Schizosaccharomyces pombe: one gene and its partners. Changing the gene in region 4 together with the main gene of any one other region gives a genetic interaction. Each region holds a gene or a part of one and is shown on either strand. Other genes may lie near its edges. The genes, in order: wpl1, alp14, sfr1 and psm1.

The links.
Region 1: of psm1 (region 4) and wpl1, a mutation in one rescues a mutant of the other (synthetic rescue), as found in Schizosaccharomyces pombe (one study listed by BioGRID).
Region 2: of psm1 (region 4) and alp14, extra expression of one rescues a mutant of the other (dosage rescue), as found in Schizosaccharomyces pombe (one study listed by BioGRID).
Region 3: mutations in psm1 (region 4) and sfr1 impair growth when combined (synthetic growth defect), as found in Schizosaccharomyces pombe (one study listed by BioGRID).

Annotation. Positions count from the first base shown.
Region 1 is NC_003423.3:474,044-478,344, forward strand, and holds wpl1 (WAPL family protein), read right to left. Parts: upstream 2,686-4,301; 5' UTR 2,478-2,685; coding exon 977-2,477; intron 968-976; exon of another isoform or gene 937-967; coding exon 884-936; exon of another isoform or gene 839-883; coding exon 584-838; 3' UTR 531-583; downstream 1-530. Other genes in the region: Rheb GTPase Rhb1, read right to left, coding at 1-20, 75-333, 393-454; DNA replication licensing factor Cdt1, read left to right, coding at 3,388-4,301. UniProt on the Schizosaccharomyces pombe protein: Regulator of sister chromatid cohesion in mitosis which negatively regulates cohesin association with chromatin.
Region 2 is NC_003421.2:1,009,925-1,014,867, reverse strand, and holds alp14 (microtubule polymerase alp14), read right to left. Parts: upstream 3,426-4,943; 5' UTR 3,107-3,425; coding exon 677-3,106; 3' UTR 554-676; downstream 1-553. Other genes in the region: SPOM_SPCC895.08C (uncharacterized protein), read left to right, coding at 1-220; elongator complex subunit Elp2, read right to left, coding at 3,992-4,327, 4,370-4,943. UniProt on the Schizosaccharomyces pombe protein: Required for bipolar spindle formation and proper chromosome segregation. Has a role in connecting the kinetochores and the plus end of pole to chromosome microtubules. Also required for the activation of the spindle checkpoint pathway.
Region 3 is NC_003423.3:1,578,542-1,582,408, forward strand, and holds sfr1 (DNA recombination mediator Sfr1), read left to right. Parts: upstream 1-1,914; 5' UTR 1,915-2,146; coding exon 2,147-3,046; 3' UTR 3,047-3,339; downstream 3,340-3,867. Other genes in the region: SPOM_SPBC28F2.05C (xylose and arabinose reductase), read right to left, coding at 1-464; ERMES complex subunit, membrane tether and lipid transfer protein Mdm12, read right to left, coding at 586-1,407; hrd3 (HRD ubiquitin ligase complex subunit), read right to left, coding at 3,562-3,867. UniProt on the Schizosaccharomyces pombe protein: Involved in DNA recombination repair and meiotic chromosome segregation.
Region 4 is NC_003423.3:2,538,738-2,545,657, forward strand, and holds psm1 (mitotic/meiotic cohesin complex ATPase subunit Psm1/Smc1), read left to right. Parts: upstream 1-1,978; 5' UTR 1,979-2,005; coding exon 2,006-5,671; exon of another isoform or gene 5,672-5,717; coding exon 5,718-5,738; 3' UTR 5,739-6,420; downstream 6,421-6,920. Other genes in the region: histone H3-H4 chaperone, CAF assembly factor (CAF-1) complex subunit A Pcf1, read right to left, coding at 1-1,216; exonuclease I Exo1, read left to right, coding at 6,812-6,920. UniProt on the Schizosaccharomyces pombe protein: Involved in chromosome cohesion during cell cycle and in DNA repair. Central component of cohesin complex. The cohesin complex is required for the cohesion of sister chromatids after DNA replication.

The DNA of each region.
Region 1 (4,301 bases), 2.1 Mb from region 4:
ATGGGGACCCACTCAGTACCCTTAATAGCAAGTAGGTTAGTAAAAAATTTAAAAATTCTAATAATTTGACATACAGTGTGATTCAATATCTTGTCACGAACTATTTTAACCATCTCAAAAGAAGATTTGCTAGTAATGCTGTAAACGAGTACATAGCCATGGATTCCAATGGAATGCTTAGAATTTAAGATACTGTATTCATCTTGACCAGCCGTATCGATAATTTCAGTAGCAAATTCTTGACCCTTATACTTGATGTTCTTGCTGAATGTATTTTCAATAGTTGGATAATACGATTCAACGAAATGGTTTTCAACATATTGCACCGTTAAACTATTTAAAAAAAATGGTTAGTAAACCTATTTGCGCATAAACTTCAATCAAACGCTTACCTGGACTTTCCAACAGAACGACTGCCAAGAACAGCAATTCTACGAGATTTAATAGGAGCCATTGTTTAAATTAGAAAATTTCAAGATTATAATATTTAAAAAGGCAAATTATTAACTATAGAGTGATCGTAAAAAAAAGTGAGTGAAAGCAACGATGTTGTGGATGTCACGTTCCCAGCGCGCCGCAAAGGTCATTTTACCAAGTCACTGCGCAAGTAGTCTTGCAACGATTTATGTAGTTCATCAATTATAGAAACAATGGCTAGTCCATTAGAACCCATCATCATTAATTCCTCTTTCAATTTCAAATGAAAATTTTTAAATTTATGTAGAGATTCGTAAAACTGAGATATCAAAGGCTTGAGTTGGGCAAACGCTTTGGGATCATTTAAAAAGCAATGGCTTAAAATCATTACGACATATCCACTAATTTCTACGATACTTTCCTACATTTGTTAGAAATGTCTTACAACAGAAGTAGTACAACTTACGTTCTTTTGATAAAACGAAATGAGGACATCGAGTGCTGAAGCTCCGAAAGAAACTAAATAGAATTAGTAAAAATATTAATAAAAGGAACTTACCTTCAACATGAGTGATAGTTTGAATAAACTCATGAGATTCCTCAACTAGCCCTAGTAAAAGACCAAGGATTAAGATAATTAGTTCTCGTGTAGTTTCATCATCGGACGAAAAATTAGAAAACTTTTGTAAAATTTTATAAGCAAACAATGGGACTTCTGATTTAGAAACCGCTAACGCATGATCACTGTTAGAATTAACTGTTTGAATCAAAGTACGCAACAATTTTTCACTGCATGCATGGACAACTGTATCGTCAATTTTTGGTGAATTTGTTTCATTGTGTTCATCAATTAAAATTTGTAACTTTGAGGATAAGATCTGTGAAACCTTCTGAATCTTTTCTGATCCCTGGAAATCCGTAAATTTTTCTAAAGAACTACAAAGTGCATGAAGTAAGAAGTTATTGCTTCCATCGTTTTCCTTCAAGATGGGGTAGGATTTTTCTATTAAAAGATTGATTAATTCGGTAAACAACTCGCTTTCCGCAAAAACTCCCGAGGACGTCTTCATAAGAGCGATAGCTGCAAGACTGATAGAATCAGAAGAAGCAAGAGACTCATTGCTAAAACTAAAAGTAAGCTCTGCCTTTATAACGAATTCTTGAACGGCTCCCTTTACACTTTTTGGTAAGCTTTTTGCCAAAATTGAAACCGGTACCTGCGGTTCTAAAGTAATAGCCGTTTGCAAAAGAAGTTTAACATTGTTTGAGTAAGCATCAAGCAAGGAACTCATGCAATCCATTTCATTAGCCATAGTTGCAAATATATAAATCTGCAAAAAAGTGTGTAAAGTATCTTTAGGATCAATTTCTTCAAATATTCGCAAGAAGACATCCCGTATCGACTTTAAGCATAAACGAAATGAATTGTCAAACATTTTTTCAGCGATTCCTATTAAACTCAAATAGCGAGAAGCAGAAGAGTTACCTGAGAAAGTCACTCCGTCCACTAAGTATTCAATTTCATCAACGATCCTTTGCTGCTCTCCAGCAAAGCGAAGTTCATGTATACTTTTCATTTGAATTTCATCATCTTCTGATACGTCTTCCTCTATCAAAAAAGCACGTTCTGTACCAATAGTATGGTTGGTTGAATCCAATTCTCGACCAGAGGATACTTCACGGGGTACAATTGGCTGAGTATCTAATCCTTCCTCCATCAAATACGATCTTTGTTCCCGATAGGTAGTGGAAGAATGGTTTGCGGAAGCATCAATACTACTACAGCTCGCGGACCTTTCCAGTCCTGTCTTATGAGAACCGTACTTTGAATTCTGAAGTCCATTTCTTAAAATTTGTTTTACCGGTGAAGACGGTAAACTCAAATCAGGATTACTAACGACCCTTTGCTTTTTATGCAGTCGTTTAGACACGGTCTGTCCTGGCGAGCGCTTTTGCTTGTTTAACTCTGAAACTGTCACGTCTAAAAAGTTCCAAACTTCCGATTCCGAAGAAATTCTCTTCAAACCATTATCTTTTTCCTTACATTTTCCTCTTTTCATTTCAAGGTTTCTTCAATCCGCCTGGCTTGACATCGATTCTTTACAAAAATGGAGGAACACGGTCGTACCAACTCACAATGTAGCTTGTCGAGTGAGTGAAAACCTTCGAAAATAGAGCTTAATAACTTCTTGAGCAAAGAAAAAAGAAAATAGGGTCCTTGATGAGAAATTCGTTTTTTATACTCAGTAATTTTAGAATCGTTTTTCTATTTGTACTTGGTTGATTTCAATCGGTCCTTATAGATATTTGAGTCACATTGTTACTCTACCCAGTATAAATAGAAAAGACTTAGTCGATAGAAATCATACAGGGCATCTTTTTATTCATTTATTATAGCAACTTATCCACTGATAGTAAAAAAGTTAACTAAAAGTTTTGAATTCGTACAACTTATGGAAGACCATAAGTGGACGAGTGGCTATTTGACACAAGTTTGTTTTCAGAGAGCCTGAACTTGGTGCAACACCTTTATTATACAGAAATCATTGTGACATGTAACATATTATTGAAAATTTCGACAACGAACAACTCAATAATATCTCGCAGAGCAAAGGAGTTATTCAAAATTTATATAACGATGCATCCTGTAATAATTTTAAACTCGTATAAGAGATTCTATAAAAACTTCGGAAAATGAAAAGCTGTAGTTAAAAAATTGTTTTGTGAATTTTGTACAAGTGTTGGAACTTATTTATTCAATATAATCTACTGAATCATATAGGCTAAGTAAGACATAAACTGATTAGTCGGACAAATGTGAACTAGTTAGCAAGCGCGACACGATAGCTACGCGACGCGTCAACAAACGCGACACGCTCAAATTTAATATAACCCTCGATATAAATGAAATGTCGCGCCCTATATAGTCACGACAACAATATCCTTATTTTTGGATTTTGTGTTCAAATCATGAGCGCTGGATCGCAAACAAAATTGAACTTCTCTGTCCGTAAAACTCGATCCTCATCAAAAAGGTCGAATGCGGCCATTATTGAGCCACCCAAAAATCCTGAGGATTCTCAAATAATACCAGCTGTTAAAAGGCTGAAAGAGAACTTGGACACTGAGTCTTTAGAACAAAATGAGGTTTTACCCCCAGTTAAAAATGAATCAGTTCTTTTCTTAGAAAAGGTCTTTAATGCAGTCGACATATGTGTAAAATTTCACCTCTCCATCAATACCAAACCAACCTTTGTGCTGTTAGAAAATAAAGTCTCTGGTCTCACCAAAATCTCCTTAAAAATAACTCATCTCGCTCAGATTTTAACCGTATGGCCAGAGTCATTTGCTATTACCCCATGTTTTACTATTCATCAAGGAAAGCGTGTTGCAACATATGAACTGTCATACCCTCGCAATGCGAATCTTCCTGAAGCCTTCTCCCGCTCCATTGAATTTAAACGGAGACTAGAAAAATGGTTGTTAGAGCATTGTTCTGAAACTGAGATTCCTGCTCAACAGTTACAAGCTTTACCCAGTCTATCCAAGAATACTGTTAATGAAAGTTCACTAGTTCGAAAGCTCAATTTGGAGAAATCAACAAGTCGCGAGTTACGTATTCCCACACAAACTCTAGAACCAAAATTCACTACTAACACGGCAAAATATGCTAATGAGTTAGTCTCGTGTAGCATGCTTGACAGTTCGTCCACTTTGTCAAAGTCAGTGAATTCAAAAATCAATTTGAAATCCCATCAAAGTTCTTCATCTGTTCAAAATTCATCGCGTAAGCTAACATCATCTCAGTTAACTTTGAGACAATCTTCTCTGTTCGATCGCGTGCGTAAAAAGCAAAAAGCAATGGAAGCAAAAAAAGCTGAAGA
Region 2 (4,943 bases), on a different chromosome or scaffold from region 4:
AAAACTAAATGAGTGGCTAGATTCCTTGGATTTTAAGCTTCCTATATATCTGTTTCATAGGAAATTAGAGTCGGAATTGTCCCATTTACCGCCTTATTCCCCTTATCGTGATTCTTATTTCTACCTGGAGGACGATGATGGTGATGCCGATACTCCTTCCACCGCTTCTTTGGACTACTTTAGCAACATCAGTCCTCCGGACTTTTTGAACAAAGCTTAGAACTTTTCATTGGGCAAAGACTCATGTGATTGTTACTCTTTTTTCGACTGTCTGTACTTTACGCATATCTTTATTTTTTTTCTTCTAACAATTTCTTTATTATGTTTAATTTTTTTAAAAAGAGGTTTTCGTTTATACTTGGTACGGCTATACAGTATACTTGTGATGCAAAATTAAACAGACTACTTTTTTTAATGACACTAATACGTTTAATGCGATAAATTCGTACGTTAAAATTCTTTTATTTATTTTATATGTTTGTTTGTGTTGTGTGTTTGAGTTACCATTTGACTCCATCTTTAACCTATAGTTAAATCTGATTTTAAGAAATTTGGTATAAACGAGAATACGTATTTTGTTATTATTTTTGTAAACCGATATTATCATTATTCTAAAACATTAAAAAATAGAAAGGGAAGTAAGGGACATTGGAATGTAAACGAAAGAATTTAAAAACTAGTGAATCAATCCCTGATGTCTTTGGTCTGTTTGTTTCATCTCAGTAATTTTTTGTTTTAGTTTGGCAGCTAAATCAATGGCTTTAGTCCAATCAGGATTGATATTATTGGCCCTTGACGAAAACGGTGATCTTGGTAATTCAGCATGAAACGTGAAATTACCATTTGTTTTCGCAGATGCTAAAGGGGATCTCTGATTCACATCTATAGAGCTATAAAGTTTAGGTCTAGTAGGTTCAAATTCCCTCACTGAACGTTGAAATGAGGGACTCGTAGAGAGCTCTAAAAAGTCAGTATTAGCTCTTCGCATAAATGCAGGTTTTCTGTCTCCTATTGGTGAGGCTTTCCTGGCACTGCGTAAGGTATTTAATTCACCTTTCAATTCACTGAGTTGTTTTTGCATAGAAATATTCTCTTCATGTTCAACTTTCAACTGCTCTCGTAACTCCTCGTTTTCTCTCTTCAGAGATTCTAAAGACGAAATGGTAGAGTCATTGTCTTCTAATACTTTAGGGTGTTCATAACGATCAACTCGTGAATGCTTAGCCGGTTGAGGAGCCGGATCGTCCAACTCCATGTTCTTCAAATTTTGCACCGTTTCGTTAAGTGCTCCCGAATTCAAAGGAGTGGAAGCTTTTACTTTTTGTTGCAAACTGGAAGATGTGCCTCGTGAAAGCCCTCGAGAAACTGGCCTCGTAGTCGGTCTTGGTAACAAAGGACCATTCTCAAATGCATTACCCTTTGATACATCCATGGAAAGCGATTTGTTAGTTGCCTTTCGTGGAGATGGTACAACTGGACTAGAAGGAACAACGGATTTCTTGACAGCCTTAGCATTTGAAGGTACGACGACTTTTGATTCTTCTTGTTTTGAAGGTTTAACTTTCGACTTTTTTGTAGGTGCCTTAGCCTTTACTGTAGCTGTTTCATAAAAAGAACGAATTTTAGATTTCCTGATGTCGTCCAACGGACTTAAATACTGATTAATGGCTCTTTCACCAACGAGTTTCATCAAAACACCCAAGGCTTCTGCTGCCGCACTACGCACCGGCTCAAAGGTATCAGAAACACCAGGAACGCATGCTTTAGCACAGGTATCAACTGTAAACTTAGATGGTAAGGATGTCATATTACTGAAAGATCTCGAGAACAAACTAAAGCAGGAGCTTTTGATTTGAGGATTTTTGTTCCCGGCAAAGCTAGCAATGAGCTCGGCTAAGTCATCCAAACTGGATGTAGCCAAAACAGCATCCATCGCAGAAGATAGTGATTCGATTACATTAGCCTTTTTCTCTTTGGATCGTTCCAACAGTGCATTAATAGATGTTGAGGCATACTTCGAAAAATTTGAGCGTAAACCTTTAGCCATCGCTTGTATACAGTGTGCAGCATTTATAACCACCATGATATTTGCGTCTTTTGAAACAGACTTTGTGAGAATAGCAACTAAATTAAAAAAATCGTTGTCTTTGATCTTTGGTTGAGATAAGACAGGAAGTAGTTTGTCTAACGCTTCCTTACGATCCTTCCATTTCGAAGAAGCCATTAAAGTTTCCAGGTTAGGATCCACATTGGGTAAAACGTCCACTTCTTCTACCAAATCAAATTGATCATCTGACGGTTCTGGTTCACTTTCTTCATTCTCGAGAGCAGGTTGCTCTTCTACCTGTGTTTCAACATTCGGCTCTGATGTAGGTTGCTGACTTTTCAAAAAACGAGTTTGTTTGGGAGGCTCTGTTGGTAGCTCAGCAAAAAGAGACTCAAGCTCTTTCGTCTGAACTGGTCTTAGATCTTTAAATAGTAAATCTTTTAAAGGATCCCCTGTCCACCGATAAATGTTTACAGTTAAACGAGATGCTTCCTTACGAACATTTTTATCAGCATGACCAAACAAGTTGGAGATATGTGGAATAATCATTTTTGAAGGAATAACTTTAGCACCAAACTGCTCAACTAGACTAGCAATGGCAGCGACATTAGAAGCTATTACCTTCGGGGATCGAGCCGATAAAGAAGGAATGATTGATTCTATAACTGGCGCAGCTGAATCTGCTTCAACTAATAGCATAAGAGCTTCTAGTGCATTTTCCCTTGTACCTGCGCGAGGTGATGTTAAGCATTTCTCTGAAATTGAAAGGACTGATATTTCACGAGCTTTAAGTAAATGAGAAGGATCGGAAAACCTGCAATAAGCTACAAACGCTGCGGTACCAGCTTCTTGAGCTGCTACGTTGCTATCAGTCAGCACTGATTTCCACAATTCACTCTGATTATTCCAAAGCTCAAAGCAATTATCCGAACCATCTGCTGAAAGTGAAAACGATTTGCTGCACTCTTCATAAGCAGATAGACGCACTTTCCATACTTTATGTACTATTCTTGATTCTAGAGGAAGTTTGGAGTAGTCTTCTTCTTGATCTTGGCTCATGTTCCTCCGGGGTGCCAAAAATTAAAGGAGCGTATAAGATAAATAAACAGCAAATGCTCTCCCAAAACTCCAATTCTAAAACTCAAAAGTTGTACTTAGTACCTTTTCTCCCTTTTTTGAATAAATAATAAGTAATTACTCGTTAAGCCTGTAGGCAAATACAACACTGTCAAACTTTACAGAATATCGATTTAGCAAGGCCGGAGTATATAAGTATTAACTCGTTGAGTCAACAAATTCAAACCTGAGAAAATATAGCCTTTAATAAAAAGTATCTTTATTAAGACTTAGGTTTGCAAAATAGATGTTTGGAGTTGGTAAGTGTTACTTTTGGACACTACCGAAAATGCAGTCATTCAGTTGAATATAAATTACTTCCTAGCTTGCTCCGTTCTTTCAATAAATGTAAACGAGTAATAGAAAGGGAAAAAAAATAAACTAAATTTCGTAGAAGTAATCAATGTTCTTAGTTAGATTTACAACTTGCATTCTATTACGCTTGAAAATACTTCTTAGTTAAAATCTTGCCTTATCTACCTTTTAAATATAATTTATTTTTAAAAAAAATTTTTATGTGTTGTTTTTTTCTCTAACATGTAAAATTGTGTTTGAGTTAATTGAGAAGACTACTACACCAAAGTTTTTGATACTAATAATTAAAAATACATATTTATATATATATATAACAACTAAAGTAATGAATCAATCTGATGAATGTCTACCATTCAGCACTAATTATGCCAACCTAACAACCCATTAACCTTCCTTTTATTTATCGACAATTATAACAATAAATAATTTATCTAAGCATTTTTAACCACCCCTCAGGTATGTTTAAAACAGGCCAACCCAATCTAACATTACCAATTGTACTTATTTTCAAGTTTATCCCAACGTAACGTTCAAAAGTCGTACACTGGTATCTTCGCCAGCAATTAAAAGAGAATACAACCCCATAGTTTCAAAAGTGGGCTTCCATAAAATTTGGTTAATTGACTCCATAGGAGCCATGTGGTCTGGTAAACGTGTTGGGTACCATTTGGTAAGATTCTCTCTCGGGCATCTCCAAATAAATATTTTACCAGCTTCAGTTCCTACCGCAAGCAAGAGTTCATCGTTGTGAAAGAACGGAGCAAAGTCAACAGCGGTAACAGCATCAGAAAATTGGAGAGCAGCAACATCACATATTTTTTTATTGTCATTGATTTTCCAAAATTTAACCTAAATAGTTAGCAAGATTTGATCAAATAAAAAATTACTCACGAATTTATCACGCGAAGCAGTCGCAAAAAAGTAACCCATTTCTTTGGGAGCCCAACTAGCATCCCAAATAATACGAGAATGCGCTTTTATAGAAGCAAAGTTATTATAATCCAATAAATTTTCGGCTTGCTCATGCAAACACACCAACCGATCCCGCCCAGCACTTAAAATGTATCGGTCATCAGGTGAAAACTTTATAGTTGTAACCGTCAAAGAATGACCTTTAAGGACTTGCTGCTGATTCCATGACTGCGTTTCGTATAACCGAATGACAGCATGTTCGGGGGTTTGTGATTTACAAGAAGTCGCGGCAATATTACCATTATTAGATATGGCGCATGCATAAACCTCATAACCATGGCCGAATAATTTTTCAACTTCCGGAAACAATAGCAAACGCTGTAAGTGTTCTTCAAAAGGAGGATGGTTCAAAGAACCAATCACATCAGCAACAGGAGTCTGAACTTCTTCTGCATTTACCGTACCAGTTTCAGATGCAGTGGTAGCTTTATTAGAAAGACCTAGTAAAGGAACATTTGCAGCATCAGGTAAGCTTTCCTCCCCAATATTGGTA
Region 3 (3,867 bases), 960 kb from region 4:
AACCCAAGACTGATAATTTCTTCCAAATGATGAATATTATAGTTGGAAACTCCAATTTTGTTTATCCTTCCTTCTTTTTGATGCTGCAATAGTGCTCGCCAAGACTCAATACGGCGTACGGGCCACTTTGGTGAATGTATTAGCACGACGTCTAACTTTGGACGACCTGTTCTGCGAAGAGACTGTTCGACCGCTTTCCAGGTACGTTCAAATCCTTGTAAGGAGTCAGGAATCTTAGTTATTAAGGTGATATCTTCACGTTTAATATTCACATTTTGATGGCAGAAATCTTGAATGGCTTGTTCACATTCTTTTTCATTTCGATATGTAATTGCTGAATCAATTACGCGAATACCAAGCGAGAGTGCCTCAATTACTTGCTGGTAGCAATCCTTAAGTTGATATACACCAAAGCAAAGTTGTTCCTTTTCAAAATTGGTTTGAGAAGGAGAAAATGGTTTCATTAACGTAAGTTGAGGTAGATGAGAGAGCTCAATGTATAGACAAAAATATTTTCTAAATCCCTAAACCTTTAAGTAGGAGATTAAAGGAAATTTTTTATATATTTAGGATAATTGTAAAGAATTATTCAATGGTTATATAGCTAGGCCAGACAAGTTCATCCTCAATAATACGTTTAACTTTTTCCGATACAAATTTCTCGACTTTAGCAACATTTTTTAGCAGCTGTTTATTAGATTCTCCAATAATACTTTCCACTGTTAAATCTCGAATAACACTTGATGCATGCTCTCCAGTTCCGTGCAGCAATGTATCAACGAAGCATAGATGCGTCCGCTTTCCCATTTTAGCCAAAACAGCAATGGCATCGATGGAAATCCTAATAAATGAAAGTTTGAATGGAAGAACTGCAAATTCAGAGTTCGGGTAATTCATCGATAGAACCGCTTCCAGGCTTAGATTTGCGTCTCCGTCATAAGATACGTGTGCAGTAACTTGGAAATCGTTAGAACGATCTCTTTCTTGATGATTATCCATTGGAGTACTTGGGCGACTTTCAGGAATTGGGCTTGTGAGTCCACTTGCAGATAGAATCCCGGGTGAATTAAATGCGGGATTAAAATATGCTAGTCTTGAAAATGGATGTTCAGCAGCGTAAGGTGGAAGATCCGTAAGCACTGGTGAAACATTATTGCGGGAGCATTGATCACCCTCTAGTTCTTGGTTAGCTAATTCGAAAGCTTCATTTTCATAAAATTGGGGATCAGGATCGCCGATTTCTTGAATAGTAATCTGAGGTGAGACTTTGCCGAAATGGAAGTCAACAACCTTTAAATGCTTTATATAAGATGGTAGCGACAAATTCGAAACTTGTCCTTCGAGAAGATGTAAAACTTTTGCTTCTAATTCTGAGTCTAACTTTGACCAATCAAAGTCAATAGACATTGTTCTGCAATTGTAAAAAAAAAATACGAACTCTTGAATCTCTCAATGACGATTGTAGCAAGTTTTCAAAATTTAAGTAATTTCTTCGTCAACTTGGTTAATGAAATAATATTTAAACCGGTTCTCTAAATTTTATACGAAGACGGCATGAATTTGATACTTTAAACAAAATCCTCCAGCAATTTTAATGTCCTTTCCTTCAATGTTCTTTTTTACTCATCGAGAATTGCAAGTGAATTTTTAAGATATCTATTTATCTTAAATATTACCTTCTGTAGGTACCAAAATCTTTTCTCCTAGTATTGTCAGTAGAGTTAGGTGGTATTCCCAGATTACCTTCTAACAAAGCCTACGCGGTTTAAAAAAGGTTAAAAAACAAATTTGTAAATTAATAAACCTTTTAGTTTATTACTATCGTAATTTGTATAAACATTTAATTTTTTGGAACCACCAGTCATGTGCTTCAGTCTTCTTCTACCTAAGTTCTTGTTGCTTGCTGTTATTTTCACCTTCTGCTAGTAAAACGTTTTCAACGTTTATCTGGAATTTGTGGTATTTCTTCATTTCTATAACAATTAATATTCAATTCATTTAATTATTTGAAGTTAGAGTTTAAACATTCAACTATTACACTCAACGCGTTTGTTGACAAAAGTTACGCGCTTCATTGCATCTTTGTTATAATTTAACATTCACTCTTTCATCTTCGAATTAGTACTTTAAAACGATTTAACTGAAAATGTCGCAAACAATTAACTCTGAACTCAATGAAAATGCTACTTCACAGTGTAAAGAAGATTTGAAAGTTTCCCTAAGCGAAAGTGATTTACGTGACTCACAGGGTCAGTTAGGAATAGAAAACCCTCCTAAATGCAATAACAGTGGCAATCACTCAGATAACCTAGGTTTTATCGAGCAGTCAGAAACAGTACATCCAGAGAATGAGAAGGCTTTGACGCCGGACCTGCGAGATACAAAAATACATACTTCTTTACCAATTACTACACCTTTTTCAAAGAAAAGGGCTCGAGAAGCCAAAAATATACTTCTTAAGCCGTTCAAAAGCCCCTTAAGACAAACTGCCAGTCCTCAAGTTGCAGACACTAATCTAAAACCATCGTTAGCTGTAACAAATCTTAACTCTGATGAAACAAACACTTCTTCAGAACCTGTTACTTCTCCCTTAAGAACAACGCCTAATTCAATAAAACGGCAAAAACGACTTTTCAAGTCACCTATCTCTAATTGCCTTAATCCAAAGTCCGACCCTGAAATCACACAGTTGCTTTCTCGTCGTTTAAAACTTGAAAAAGAAGTCAGAAATTTACAAGAGCAGCTCATAACCGCCGAAACTGCACGAAAGGTTGAAGCCAAAAATGAAGATAAAGACTTGCAAACGTTGATACAGAAATGGAAAAATGCTGCTCAGCAAGCCGCTGAAGTACTTTTTAAACCAATGGCTGAACGTATTCGTTTGGCTGGAGGTGTTACTCAGTCCTTTCGTATTGAAGAAGGTGAAAATAAAGGGCAAATTCAGGAAGTACGAACTGAATTTACAATGAGTATGTTTCTAAATCAGTTTGGTGTTCCTGTTCATTTGATGTCTTTTGATGAAGAAAATGGTGATTGGAAATCGTAAAGGACTCCTTACTATTGTTAAAAAAATTTTCGTTCGTACTAGTTAGAAAACCTTTAGTACGAACTTAAATATGTTTAGCTAGCTTACACCAAAATCAAGGGTATACTAATTGAACGTACAGAGGTACCTTAATCGTTTACATACAAATTGCGCCGAGCTGGTATCGAAATTCTTTACATGTAACAATGAATCGTTCCAGGCTGAGTTTATGACTTTAATTTATATAATTATTAGCATTATACAATAACATGTCTCATTAATTTGAAATTTCTTGATTTTGAACCTTCTGGTTCTAAATTTTTTCTGGAGATATTTAACATTCAAACAACAAAAGTCGATTAATTGGCTGACAGACAACAAATATAGATCAACCAATTGAAAGATGAAAAACAAAATTTATTCAAAGCATGATTTAATCACCGACGAACCCTAACATACATATATTTTTTATTCTGCATCCATCGAGCAACAAAATTTTAAATTAGAACGCAAAAAAATCGAAGATACAATTTTTATTAAGCGCGGTTTTGTCTACGGATGATTCGCTCACGTCGTTCTTGAAGTCGATGCTGTTGATGGCGTCTCATTAAAACCAGTCCGACAACTACCACAATAAGCGTGACACACGCAGTCTCCAAAAACCTTCCATCAATGTAATCATAAGTGAAACGAATATCATTATAGGATTCACCCATCTCTTCAGTATTAGGCGAGGGCAAGGACTCAGACGTTTCTTGAGGGTCAGGTTGTTGTGGTGTACGATCTACTTGTAGTGTTGGTGGTTCTGGGGGAAGTTGTGAGTCCGGACCTGCCGGGCTTAG
Region 4 (6,920 bases):
TTACCTCTAATGGGCCGGAGGAACGATGGGTATTAGAAGCATTGACACTATCCTTGTCATCATCCTCATCATCCACAAAAGCATTATCACCATCCTCTACAATATCATCGGAATTATCTACCTCTTCATCTTCACTTTCTAAATCTTCTCCATCATCTTCCTCATCAGCTACCCATTCTGCTTCTGAATCATATGTGTAGTCTATGTCTTCATCTTCAAGCCAGGGATTCAATAAAACGTTAGAACCATGGGAATGGGTTTTCGTGTAAGATCCAAAATATGGAGGGCGAACATCCTGATAAAAGAAAATGAATTTAATAGGAATCTGTGATAAACAAGATAAAATTTCTTGAGGTTTTGAAACAGATGGATCTTGATATGCGCTCATTAATTGTCGAACCTCGTTTTCGGAATTTCTATTACTAACACCTAAACTGTTTGCGGAGCTTACAGCATCTGATGGTGTAAAAATGTCGTTTAGCTTTAAAGGATAAGATTTAGAGGTTGAGAGGACTTCATCCAAAAAAGAATCAGATTCGTTCGGAGATGGATATTTGGAAAGGGACATCTGATGCTTTATAAAAAAAGGGCGAAACTCTTTCTCAAACTCATTCAGTTCATCCGTTTTGTCAGCTACAAAATTTTCGTTTGGCGCGATTCGTTTCTCAACTCCTTTGGTGAAAAAGTTGTTTAACTTCAATTGTTGTCTTTCCTTATTAAGGATTTGTTCTTGACGAAGGCGCTGTGCTTCTTCTTTCTCACGAAGCTTTTGATCCCTCTCCTCCTTCCGCCTTTGTTGTTCCTGCAATCGAATCCGCTCCTTCTCTAATTTCTCTAATTCTTTCATTTTCTTAGCGGCGATTTTTTCCTGTTCTCTTAGCTTTTTCTCTTGCTCTCGTTGTTGACGTTCCTTTTCACGTTTTAAACGCTCTGCTTCTTTTTGTCGAATCCTTTCCTCTTGGGCCCGCTGTTTTTGAAGCTTCTTTTCTTTACCCGCTTCAGCAGAGCCATTATAAATTCTTTTCTTTCTATTACCCTCATAACTTAATTTGCAAACGTACTCATCAGCTTCACTTGCAGAGTGACTGGAATGAATAACCGATTCATTCGGGGAACTCACTGATAAAGACGTAATGTCAGTGGAAGAGCTACATAACTCATTTCCCTTATTACTAGTAGAGGCCGCGACATCTGAATCAACACTTTCACTATTCATAGACAATGCTGCGAATATCAATAACAAGCCTAAGGGAGGCTAAAAACCGTGCGTAAGTTGTTTTAACGGACGCTCTGATCGAATAAAGAGGATAAAGGAGAGTTCGTAAATTATATGTTAATATTCTATTATATACATCACTATCCCAAATCTGTCTCACCAATCTATTATTCATCCATCTTAACGCTTATATAATTGAATAATTTAATTCCTTAGTTCTAACAAGATATGTACTGATTGATCTGAGTAGCTTAAACATCAAAGTTTTTTGCGAATGGGTTAATATGGTGATTTGTTATATATTTTACCTGACTACGATTATATAATATTACTGCTACATTGCATTACGATATTAATGTTAATATTTTATGGCTCATCTATATTATGATTGAGTTAATATCAGTTGACGAGAATTTTCTTTGAAATTATTTGCCATATTTTTTAACTGGTGATTGGAGTACCACAAATTCATTAATAATGAAACAAACGGATGTTGTTATCATCAATTTTCTTCCTATTTATATGCAGCAAACTTCTTTCAATAACGATGCATCGTACATATATAGGCAGGGGCTATGCAGCTTAGAATAGTAATTCGCTGGAAGGATAATATCATAATAACGAGGTTCTTGTTACAGTGAATATCAAGTTGCACTATATATTATATCGTGGATTTCTGAAACTTTATGAGATGTAATCGTAATGAGTAGGTAACAATATCTAATCAAGTAAAGACGCGTACGCGAGTTTCATACACACCTTGTACATTCCTTTTACCAAGTTTTCCTAATGGGACGTTTACTAAGACTGGAAGTTGAAAACTTTAAGTCTTATCGAGGACATCAAATTATAGGTCCTTTTGAGGACTTTACCTCGATTATCGGTCCTAATGGAGCCGGAAAATCGAATTTAATGGATGCCATTTCTTTTGTTTTAGGGGTCAAGTCTTCTCATTTACGATCAACTAATGTTAAAGAACTGATCTATCGGGGGAAAATACTGCAAAGAGATAATACAGATTTCACTGATTCTAGTAATCCTACTACAGCATATGTGAAACTTATGTATGAGTTGGATAATGGGGAGCAAAGAGAGTATAAACGCGCAATCACTCCTTCTGGTGCTACTGAATACAAAATTGATGAAGAAATAGTTACGTTTTCTGAATACTGCGGATCTCTCCAAAAGGAGAATATTCTTGTTCGAGCTCGAAATTTCTTAGTTTTTCAAGGTGATGTTGAAACCATTGCTTCGCAATCTCCTTTAGAACTTTCAAAGCTTGTTGAACAAATAAGTGGCTCTCTGGAATATAAATCTGAGTACGATAAATCTAAAGACGAGCAGGACAAGGCTGTAAATTTATCTGCTCATTCGTTTAACAAGAAACGTGGTATCAACGCTGAGTTACGCCAATATCAAGAACAGAAAACTGAAGCCGAGCGTTATCAAAGTCAAAAAGAAAAACGAGACTCTGCGCAGTTAGTTTACCTTTTATGGAAACTCTTTCATCTAGAGAAAAGTATTAGTTCTAATATGGCAGAGGTTACTCGATTAAAGGCAGATTCCATTCAACTTATCGAAAGGCGAGATGAGAACACTAAAGAGATAGAAAAGTTGAAAGAAAAAGAGGGCAGTATACGAAGAAACCTTCTTGCATTCGATAGAAAAGTTCGAAAACAAGAAAAGTTGATTGCTTCGAAACGTCCAGAGCTCATTTCAATTGCCGAGAAAGCCCTAGAGTCTAAGTCAAATCTCCGAAAAATTCAAAGAAAAGCTGCGGAAATAGAAAAAGATTATTCTGACCAAGCTAGTACGTTACAAGTATTAGAAAATCAATTGACTTCACTCTCAGCTGCTGAAAAAGAGTTTTTAAAAGACATGCAGGAAAAAGAGCAACTCAAAGGGTTGCGATTGTTACCAGAGGATAAAGAGGAGTATGAAGGACTTCGAAGTGAGGCGGACAAATTAAACTCAAATCTATTGTTCAAATTGCAGACGTTAAATAGGAATATTAAAGTTACTTCTCAATCAAAGGATTCATTAACGAGCATCGTTGGAGACTTAGAGTCGAAGATTAAAAGCCTTCATGAAAGTGTTTCTTCTCTTGATACCGAGCGAGCGGATTTGCTTGCTAAAATAAATGAAAAGATTGAAAGTTTGGAACTTGAAAAGCATGATCAGCAGAAGAAGAGGTTGACTTATTCTGAGCTTTTTCATAAAACACAAGAATTAAATGAAGAGCTTCAATCTTGTTTACAGAAAATTTTAGAGGCAAGTGCCGACCGCAATGAATCCAAACAGGATGCTAAAAAAAGAGAAGCATTGTATGCTTTGAAAAGGATATATCCTGAAGTCAAAGGAAGAATCATTGACTTATGTACTCCTACTCAAAAGAAATATGAAAGCGCAATCGCTGCTGCTTTAGGCAAAAATTTTGACGCAATTGTCGTCGAAACGCAGGCAGTTGCTAAAGAGTGTATTGACTATATAAAAGAGCAACGCATAGGTATTATGACCTTTTTTCCAATGGACACCATAGCAGCCAGTCCCGTTAATCAAAAATTTCGTGGAACACACAAAGGCGCCCGACTTGCAATTGACGTTTTGAATTTTGAGTCTGAATATGAACGTGTAATGATTAGTGCAGTTGGAAATACACTCATTTGTGATTCAATGACTGTTGCTCGAGACCTTTCCTATAACAAACGTCTCAATGCCAAGACAGTTACTTTAGAGGGAACGGTTATACATAAAACAGGGTTGATTACTGGTGGATCTTCAAACAACCGGTCGGCGAAACACTGGGATGACCATGATTTTGATCTGCTTACTCAAACAAAAGATAGACTTATGCATCAAATTGGTGAAATAGAATATCAAAAGTCATCTTGTGTGATTACAGAAAGTGATACTGTCAAGTTGCATAGTCTTGAATCTGAGATATCTCTACTCAAAGACAAATATACAGTAGTTTCTAGATCCGTGGAAGACAAAAAAAAGGAAATTGGACATTACGAATCTTTAATCAAAGAAAAACAGCCTCACTTGTCAGAATTGGAAATGGAACTTCGCAACTTTGTTAAAAGTAGAGATGAGCTTCAAATTCAAGTAGAAAAGGTTGAGGAAAAGATATTCTCCGGGTTTTGCAAACGAATTGGGATAAGTGATATACATACTTACGATGAGATACATCGCACTTTTACTCAAAGTTTTACACAAAAACAACTCGAATTCACCAAGCAAAAATCATTACTTGAAAATCGTATTAGTTTTGAAAAACAACGTGTTTCAGATACCAGGTTACGATTAGAGCGTATGCATAAATTCATTGAAAAAGATCAGGAATCTATTGATAATTACGAGCAAAATCGGGAAGCACTTGAATCAGAAGTTGCAACTGCCGAGGCTGAGCTTGAATTATTAAAGGAGGATTTTGCAAGTGAGAACTCTAAAACTGAAAAAATTTTATTAGCTGCATCCGAGAAAAAGCTAGTGGGCAAACGATTAGTGTCTGAGTTAACAAAGTTATCAGGAAACATTACTCTTTTAGAATCGGAGATTGACCGCTATGTATCTGAATGGCACGCAATTTTACGAAAATGCAAACTAGAAGATATAGATGTTCCGTTACGCGAAGGATCTTTGACGAGCATACCTATAGATGATGTCTCAAACAGCGGTGATATCACCATGGGCGAAGAGCCGTCTGAACCAGTAATAAATTTTGAGAAATTTGGAGTAGAAGTGGATTACGATGAACTGGATGAAGAGTTACGCAATGACGGTTCTGAGAGTATGGCTTCTGTTCTTCAAGAAAAATTGAGAGAGTATTCGGAAGAGCTGGATCAGATGTCTCCTAATTTAAGGGCTATTGAGAGACTTGAAACAGTAGAAACTCGCTTGGCGAAGTTAGATGAAGAATTTGCTGCTGCTCGTAAAGCAGCCAAAAACGCAAAAGAACGCTTCAATGCCGTTAAGCAAAAGAGATTGCAAAAATTTCAAGCTGCCTTTTCGCATATCTCGGAACAAATCGATCCAATATATAAGGAACTTACCAAAAGTCCTGCTTTTCCTCTTGGTGGAACAGCGTATTTGACTTTGGATGACCTCGATGAGCCATATCTTGGAGGAATCAAGTTCCATGCAATGCCACCTATGAAGAGATTTAGAGATATGGATCAACTTTCTGGAGGAGAAAAGACCATGGCTGCTTTGGCTCTGCTATTTGCTATCCACTCTTATCAGCCATCCCCATTTTTTGTATTGGATGAAATTGATGCAGCTTTGGATCAAACCAACGTTACCAAGATTGCCAACTATATTAGACAGCATGCATCCAGCGGTTTTCAATTTGTTGTCATTTCCTTGAAAAATCAGTTGTTCAGTAAATCAGAAGCTTTAGTGGGTATTTATAGAGATCAACAGGAGAATTCTTCACGAACATTATCAATCAACGTAAGGGATTACTTTTTCTTAATTTTAAAATACTAACGAAAAACAGTTGGAAGGTTATGTGGAGTAAATGATAATATTAACCTGTGATATGCTGCTTAATGTCTGTGTTAATATATTCTAAGAATACTTTATGTTTAATAGGGATGGCAAATATATATTTGCGTAATTTATTTATTTCTAACGAATTTAATTTTAATTGTTTTAAGTTTCCTTCTATAATTGATCAAGGACTTTTTTAATTTACAACGCTTTTTCTTTATGTCCTTAATTGATTTTGTCTCTGAATTGACTGGGCTAATGATAGAAACATTAATTATAAGTCACAATTGTCAGCTACGTTTATGTTTAATCCCTAGTTTCAAGGAAGTTGGGTTTAAGTGAGGTTAATGTTTTCAATATAATTCCAGTAACGCAGTTACGCTTAGACGATTCGGCTCACCCCTTGACTGTTTGTTAACTAATGAATTTGGCTGCATACAATTTTGAGAAGTCTCTACTATTCTAGAAGGCTTTCTCCGGAAACTAACTATTGCATTTTCCTTTTTAGTTTAACAGTATTTGCAGTCACAAACTAGCAAGAATACTTTTAAGAATAAACGTTTTATTAGCGACGAATAGTTTAAAATATGTTTAAACCCAACTAGATGCTAACCGCACTACATTTTTAAAACCGCAGCTTATAGAACTTTAAAATATTAATTTTGCGCTTGAGTTTTCCTCATACAGCTAAATTCAATGATTTGGTAATGGTTGATTGATTCACCGTAGTCTTAGTTAACAATCACGATAGATTTCAAACAAAGAACTTTAAAGAAAAAAACTTACTTATAGTATTATCATGATTTTAATGATTTCGATTGAATAGATGTTTAGAAAAGAAGTACACCAGCATACTCAAACAATGATAGCCGGCTCCTTAAATTATTTCACACATAAACAATAACAAAGCCTTTTATATTTATCCTTTCTTAATGATAAAGTAAATTTTATACTTGTTCGTTTTGGGCCTATCGACTGCAAGAATATATTTGTTGATCAGATACACAACACACTTCCAAGGGTACTACGTTAAAACTGTTACAGAACCAACATCTCGATAACGCACCTGCATTCTTTTGGTGCTTGACGAATGCTTTAAACATGGGAATTAAAGGTCTTTTGGGACTTTTGAAGCCTATGCAGAAAAGCTCTCATGTCGAGGAGTTTTCTGGCAAGACTTTGGGAGTTGATGGATATGTTTGGTTGCACA